Linked DNA regions of Ovis aries. The protein of the gene in region 1 purifies or fractionates together with the protein of each later gene. This does not show direct contact. Links are inferred from orthologs where the notes say so. Each region holds a gene or a part of one and is shown in the gene's direction. Other genes may lie near its edges.

Region 1 (4,059 bases):
AGCTTATCAAATGCAAACTCTGTATGGAGTCCTTTCTTTATCATGTTTGGTAAATCCTATGTGCTCCCACCACAACCTACATGTACATAGCTCTATTATACCAATTATCATCTTCTTTCTGAAGCCTGTCAGTATTTCCACATATTTTTTAGGTCTGTTGAAAGCAGGGACCATGGCTTATCCGTGTACTTTAGCAGAACACCTGAAACCTATAAACACTCCATAATTGTTTCCCAAGTAGATGCCCTTCAAACATTTGACGGTAATCTATTAGGGCCATATTAAGTCTTTCCTCAGTGGTTCTGGTCAGTTTTACTCGATTCCAGTTCCTCGAAGCCCCCCTTCCTAAAACAAATCAGACAACCACGCCCCTTTCCCATGGATTAATAAGCAACACTCAGGCTCTCTTAGAACTCTCCTCACTTTGAAGACTCGAAGAAAATTCAAGCTTCGCCTTTGCCACCTTCTCCCAGAAGGCTCTACGGTGTGGCTGTAATACAAGCAGTCTCAGGAAGGCAAGTTCAGTTTACTCAACTGAGGTGAGAGAATGGTCCAGAAACCCGCAAAGCTGAGGGTGGTCAGTATTCTAACATTCGAACACTCTAACCACGACCACCCATGCCTCCTTCCAAATTCGCTATCACTCTAGGGGTTTTTTTTGATTGCCCCCCTACCTTTCGCGCATGCGCCTCACACTCTCAGCACACCCATTCCCGTTAACCTCCCGCGCATGCGCCAACTCTGCAGTTTTCAGTCCCCGTTACCAACTTCTCGTGCCCTCAGTTGTCAGAACTCACGACCTTGATATTGCCCCCGCGCCGGCACTAACCGGTACTCGAACTCCTCGTCGTCGTATTTGTCCGAATAGTAAATTTGTTTGTGCGACATGATCACTCTGCCTGAGGACCTTCAGCCCCGCGCCGCCAACCTCCGAACAACTCCCAGCAGCACGCGCTCCCACCCTCTTTGGCCTCGCTTTCAAACACGCCGCCTGCGCTTTCTATTGGTCCCTCTGCCGGAAGGCGGGACAACCCCACCTTCAAGCCTCCGATTGGCTTAGGTTTGCTTCTACTCAAGTCCTCATTGGAATGAACATTGCTCAAGAATTGCCGTAAGTAAAAAATAGACGTTTTATTGGCTATCACTGCTACTGTGCTCGTCCGCGCACTGCCATTGGTTGATTCGGGAAAGAGGGACGGGTGAAGGAGGGACAATGAGGTACAGGGTCAGGGGTTAGTGAGGCCGGAAGTGAGTGCAATAAAGTTTCTCCAGGGAGGCCGGGCCCGGGGAGAAAGTTGGAGCGGCAACCTGAGGAGACAGTGGCGTGATCCGGAACCAAATCGGCCCGCGGTGCGGTGCGGAGACTCCATGAAGTCCTGGTGAGTTGGGACATTTTTCTTCTTAGGTGACCCACTCCTCTACCCCGGAACCCCTCTCCCGGGACCCTACTTCCGGTCTTCATTTACAAGTCCCGCCCTCTGCGACCCCCTCCCCGGAAGTCCCACCTCCCAACTTCAGGGGGCTCTCCGAACCCCGACTTATATTCCATTTACTGTCCCCAATCCTACCCTGTCGTCCAGCTTTCCTGGAAGTCCCACCCCCAGACATGCTTCCAAACCCCTGCATTAGTCCTTCCGATTCCCCGAAACCCCGCCTTCTCGAGACTATTCTCCGTTAACCCCTGTCTATCAAAAGCCTAACTCCCAAAAGGGCAGAACCCTGCTACTCAAAGAACTATTCGAATTCGTGAGGCCACGCCTCCCTAAGGGTTCCGCCCCTTTAGAAGCCTCGCCCCTTCCTTAATCCACGTCGGATCGTCCAGAAGCCTCGCCTCCTGGGAGTCTCTGGTGCACGCGTCTTGAGGGGCCACGCCCCTTCAGGAGCGTTATCCCGGTTGGACCCTTGTCATCGCCTCAGGAGCTTTGTCTTCAATCCCAGAAACTTCACCTGCTTGCGCTTCCTCGTTCCTTTTCTCTTTGGGGCCCTTGGCTCAGTTTTCCTGAGCTCTTAGGCTCCACTGGATAGGGTCAAAAGTTCACATCTCTGACTCTGTGGAGTAAGAGATTAGAGGCAGCCCTTTCCCTCTCCCTTAGCCCCTTCCAAGGGTGGACCTACTTGAAGGGGGCTGGACTTGGGGTTTGGCACGAGAGTGGGAGGGAGACTTGCTCACAGATTCCCTGCCCCACTCCCTGAGTTTCCCTTCCCAGGACCGACTCCACCCCAGAAACAGCTGTTTGTCTCATACCTGTACGACGGGAGCTGGGTAGGGCCGTGGATTTGTCGATGTGTGACATGTGGGTGTGACAGAAGAGAAAGTTTTCTACCACCTGAAGACGGTGGCTTGGAATGGGTGTAGGTAACAGTGTCCTTTTTGATGTTTGATTTTTTTTTTTTAAGGGACTCTTCAGGCCCCACCACTTCTCTGGCTCTTCCCCTCCCCCAGACAGAGTTCTAGTCTGGGCATTTCTCCTGGTCCTGCTTGCCCAGCCTTCCCTGCTGGAAACATTCCTGAGGCTTTCGCCATTTCCTGCTACTTTCCGCCTCTCTTGCCTCCTCCTCCCTGCTGAGCTGAGAAGCCACATGCAGCTTCTTCCCCACACCCAGTCGTTCAGATTCCCAGTAGCAATCCCCTTTCTTCCTTCAGATTGCCAATAGCAATCTCCTTTCTTCCTCCGTAAATTTAAAGAGCCCTACTTCCTCTTTCTTTTCTAAACATGCCCACACCTGTAGGTCATCCCTTGTCTCTGGATTCTGCAGGCACCCACAGAATGCTCACCTCTAAAGATAGGATATCCTGGTGTGTGCTTGTGTGTGTGTGGGGGGTGGGGGGCGGTGAGGCTTTGGCAGAATACTTTCCTCTTTCTCTGTTTCTGAGTGCTGAGGCCTTAGGAAACAGTGATAGGTTTTCTTCTCAGGAGTGGTGCATGGGGTGGTAAAGCTCTCCTGGGTTCAGGACTACGGGGGCGGTGGTAAGCACAGTATCTAACATGTTTTCATTGTCAGGATTGTTAATCACTGTAATCACAATAATTTGCATTTTTTTAATATTCTGAAGTAAATTTAAAGATAGGTAATTCCGAGGTGAGCCTGCTGAGGGTATATGTATCTTTTACTACTACTTCTATTTGGTTGCTTTCCAACTTCCCCTGTGGCCTCCTGGAGCAGAGCTGTGGCAGGATGCTGTGGGTGGGAGGAATGAGTTTGGGACTGTTCCCTGTGTCCAGCCTCAGTCCTCTTCTGGCACCCCTTTCTCATGAGCACAGATTTGACTTCTGCGCCTCTGTCCCTTCCTGGCCACTTCTCTTGGACAGCCGTTGCACTGCCCCATCTCCTGTGGTCAGACTCTTTCCTTGATATGAGGGGTATCATGCTCCTTGGTGGATACCTGCCCTCTCTCTGGTCACTACTAAAAAGGAGGGGTATGTGTTCACCTGGAGGTCTAGGGATCTGACCTTAGTGTCAATGCCCTGGCCACCCCTCACCCCTTCTGCCCTTGACAGCTTACTTTCCTGTGGAAGAGGGGGGCAGAAGAGTATTTGGCTTGGGCCTCTGCTCCTTGGCATGGTAGGCGCCATGCATGGAGAACAAGCCTCCACCAAACTGTCCTCTGCTCCAGCTCCTGCCCGGTGGCTCCCTGATGTGCCACCCAGCTTGGACTTTATTCCTCTTACTTTAACAGCTTTGCCTTTCCTCTTGGCCCCTCCCTGCATCCACTGGGACCATGTCCTTCTTTTTCCCATTTCTTTAGCTCCCTCCACAGCTGTGATAGCCAAGGAGGCTAATGGCTCAGGCTCCCTAGGGCCACCACCCCTCTGTGGGGCAGTGGTGGGGGGGCGCTGGGGCTGGAGGCTGAGGGAATTTGAGTGTTCAACCAGGACAGGAAGGGAATTGCTGAGCTCAGGGATCCCCTCCCTTTCCCACCCCCAGCTGCCTCTGTTTCCTCCCTCAACCTCCTCCTCGCCCGCCGCCCCCCCCCCCCCCCCCCCCCCCCCCCCGGCCCCACCGGTCCCTCAGCTTCCTGCTCTCTTTGGCCTGCCCTTGTCCGGTCTGGATTGATCC
Region 2 (3,571 bases), on another chromosome or scaffold:
GCCTTAAAAGTAGCTTTGGGGAGTTCATGCTTTGAGCGGTTGATTGGTTATTTGATGAGTAAAAATGGAGTAGGTACAAAAGTGTGCATGCTAACTATCCAGCCCAGTTTCAAAATGCAGGGAGGGCAGGGACTCGAGGGGCATGTGGGTTCAGTCTAACGGCACTCTGGCTTGGTTCTCAGGGCCTCCTTTCTCTACTTCAGTCTCAGCTGTTTCCTGGGTCTGATGCTGATGTTGGCCATGAGGCAGTGGCCAGGATGCCAAATCCCCAGACCCTTTTGATGCCTGTCATAGAACACAGCACCACCCGGCCCCTCAACCCCAGAGCTCTGGGGGAACACCCTCGGGACCCTCCGGGGGCTGGCCTGGCCACTCTATGGCCAGCCAAACAATTCCATCAGCACAGTCTGGGTCTCTTGGGAGCCAACTCTGGGCCATCGCTTCCTGAGCTCCCACCCATATATCCACTTGGCCTAATGACTGTGGGAGGGGCCTCAGTCCTTCCTGCTTCAGCCCCATGGGGACCAAGAGTGAGTCCTAAAAAGAGAAACCCCAAAGGGGAATTCAGAATCCACATGACCCCTCCCATCCTGGCCCAGGTGTGTCCTTGACTTTGGCCCCTGGTAAAGCAGCCTGTGAGTTTACAGCATTGCCGGAATTTGACAGTTTTCTGATTATTCTATCAGCAGGTTAGAGGAATGCGGAAATACTCTCACTCTGTAAAAGCAACTGCCTCTTTTTTTCCTCATATGTAAAATAGAAATAATACTATCACTTACTAGTATTATAGTCAATGTGAGGATTAAATCAGAGGGTACGTGTGAACTATGAAACGTATCTCCTGCACCTTTGAGCTTCAGGGACATCCAGGATCATCAATGCTGTTATTGTTACTATCTTTGCGTTAAGTACTCATAGTCAGTGGTGTCTAGTTCCATCTAAAGTCAGGAGTGTCTGAGCACTATACCTACCTCTAAGTGTAGATATAATGGGTCCCTTGTACCCCAGAGACAAGGAGTTTCAGCTCTTTGCACCATAAGCTTTTATATGATCAACAAAAACAAAGGCATTTGCTGCTCCTTTCAACCTGCAGTCCCTGGGAAAACCTTCAGGGCCTTTCTAAACCTCTCTCTACACTTTCGAGTGTTTGTACTTCTTCCAGGCGGGGATGCACTGGCTCTCAGCACTCGGGGAAGGCTCTGGCCCAACTGCTAAGACAGCCTCAGGGACGTATCATGGACTGGCTCCGCCGTAGTGCAAACCCCGTGCAGTGCCCAGGTCTTCATGGCTTTCTAGTCAGCAGGCACGTGAAGAACTCCCCTCTTAGTTCCCCAAGCCCACACCTTTGGCAGCCCTGCCCTGTTAGTGGTCGCTCTAAAGCCAGTGCTGGTGGTTTCGCCCAGGGCTCTGCTCACATTGAGAGGGGCTTCCTTTGCCCATCAGTTTAAACCTCTTCACTTGCCATTCTGGCTTTTAAGTCATCCGTACCTTCAAAAATATTGAACACCTGCTGTGTGTGCCACGTGCTGGGGCACCTGGGTACAGAGTGTGCCCCCTCCCTCGGGCACGCTGGCCAGATGGAAAAAATTGGGAAGTCCCAGGGCACAGCCACGGAGGGGGTCCCATGTGCCCAAGCTGAGCATGGCATAGGCAGAAGAAGCAGGCTAGATCTCACTGGGCACTGACAAGGGCCTCCTGTTTGAGGTCAGAGAGATAAAGGACTTCTCAGAACTAAAAGGCATGTGCCAGAGAATTCCTGGCTGTGGAGAGAGGCACTCCAGCTGGGCTCATTGGCAAGGTCCTTTGGGCCAAGACCTATAATGGCTGAAAAGGACCGAAACGCCACCATCTGTCCCCTTGGACCTCACCTACACAGCCACTGTCCGTTCTTCTCTAACCCTGCAAGGCTGGCATCCCCACTCTTCTGCCATTAAGGAAGCAGAATGGCAATGAGATTAGGCCGTGTGCTGAAGACACCCTGGGGACTCCACCCCCAGGCTGTCTTTGAATTTTCCTTCCATAGTGTTTTCAGGGGTTTCTTTCAGAAAGTCCTAAAAACATTTTATAGGACCTACACTAATGGAATTTTAAAGGATTAAGAGAACTGAAAGCAAGCCTTTAAGGACACACCCAAGGCTCTGCCCAAGGCCATCTTAGCTCCTCCAGGACACACAGAAGATGCTGGTTTTCAGGGAATTATTGGAGGGACCTCCCTCGTTTCAGCTTATTAAAAGTGATCACAGTCATGAACAGCTCACTGACACTGCAGTTCAGTCCTTTTATGAGTAAGACTGCTCTTATAAAACATCATTCTTTTGCACAAAGAGCCTCATTCGAAATTTCAAGGTAATTGTGTTATCTCAACTGGCCAAGAACAATAAATAGCTTCTCAGGCCAAAGACATTTCTCTGACCCCCGATATCTTGTCCTTGGAACTGTGCAGCTGTATTTGTTTTTCCTTCACCATCCGAAGTTAATTTTAAGTAACTCCCCAATCGCAACCCGGTTTACAGAGAACCGACTGTGATTTGTTGTGTCTGTGTTTATGACCACAGATGTTTTCACGTCTTCCCTCGCCGTGTTCTAGTCTCTATCTTAGAGACTTCGACAAACTGATTCGCTATGCCCATCTTCGTTTTCTCTTGGAGTATTTATGCTCACCATATAAACTACCCCCTCTTTCTAAAAATGGTTCCAAAGGCCCTGGGAGGAAGGCATCGGGCAACCTGCGCTGCTTTGGCAGATCCCGCCCCAGGCCAGACTGCCTGCAGGGGTGAGAGCCCCAGAGCAGAGCTCAGGCCTTGGCTCAGCAGCCCTCTTTGGTGTTTCAGCTACCTCCTGCCGCATCTGCTTCCGTCCAAACCCGGCCTGGACACCCACGGCATGCGGCACCCCACAGCCAACACCATTCAGAGAGTGTTTAAGATGAGCTTCGTTCCGGTTGGCTTCTGGCAGAGGTTTATAGCACGGATGCTGATCAGCTTGGCTGAGATGGACCTCCAGGTAGTTGCGTTTTCTGCATAGGGCACTATTTGCTTGCAGGCCAAGCCCCTGCGGCTATGCCCTGGTGGGAGTGGGGGGAGGGAGACACCCTTTGCTGGAGGAGCCTGACTGAAGACCCTTTCCTGCAGCAGAACTGCTGGCTTAGGGTCCGGACACTGGGACAGCGTGGCTGCCTCCTCTCCTGTGGGCCACAGACCCGCTTGAGTCATTCTGTGAATGCCAGATCAGCACCTAGCTGTCTTGGACAGACTATCCCATGAGGAGCAGTGGTTTCAGTCTTACCAACGTCCACATTCCCTGGCTCTGTGGCTGTGGACCGGGACTCAGAGTCTGCTTATCCAGACACTGACCTTGAATATGCTGTTGCTCAGGGATAATGCCCAGAAGAACCATGGTTTTGCCATTCAGGCTGTGACTGAACTCCCCTGGGGAGCTCTTAATAGACACAGACCAACAAGTCAGAATCTGTGGGTATGGCACACAGGGATCATATTTTTTAAAGCTCTCCAGGTGATTGATTTCACTGTCCAGTCAAGCTTGAGAACCACTGGCATAGAACTTTAACTTG

Evidence for each region. The genes of interacting proteins can lie anywhere in the genome.
Region 2: the proteins of SHC1 (region 1) and LRRK1 purify together in Homo sapiens (affinity purification with mass spectrometry; 3 studies listed by BioGRID and IntAct, with this or other methods). This does not show direct contact. The link is inferred for Ovis aries from reciprocal best matches to the Homo sapiens genes SHC1 and LRRK1.

The regions. Positions count from the first base shown.
Region 1 is NC_056054.1:105,194,952-105,199,010, reverse strand, and holds the start of SHC1 (SHC-transforming protein 1), read left to right. Parts: upstream 1-1,247; 5' UTR 1,248-1,379; exon of another isoform or gene 1,380-2,346; coding exon of another isoform or gene 2,347-2,352; exon of another isoform or gene 2,353-2,356; intron 2,357-2,397; 5' UTR 2,398-4,059. Other genes in the region: CKS1B (cyclin-dependent kinases regulatory subunit 1), read right to left, coding at 830-888. UniProt on the Homo sapiens protein: Signaling adapter that couples activated growth factor receptors to signaling pathways. Participates in a signaling cascade initiated by activated KIT and KITLG/SCF.
Region 2 is NC_056071.1:4,897,988-4,901,558, reverse strand, and holds part of LRRK1 (leucine-rich repeat serine/threonine-protein kinase 1), read left to right. Parts: intron 1-2,831; coding exon 2,832-3,003; intron 3,004-3,571.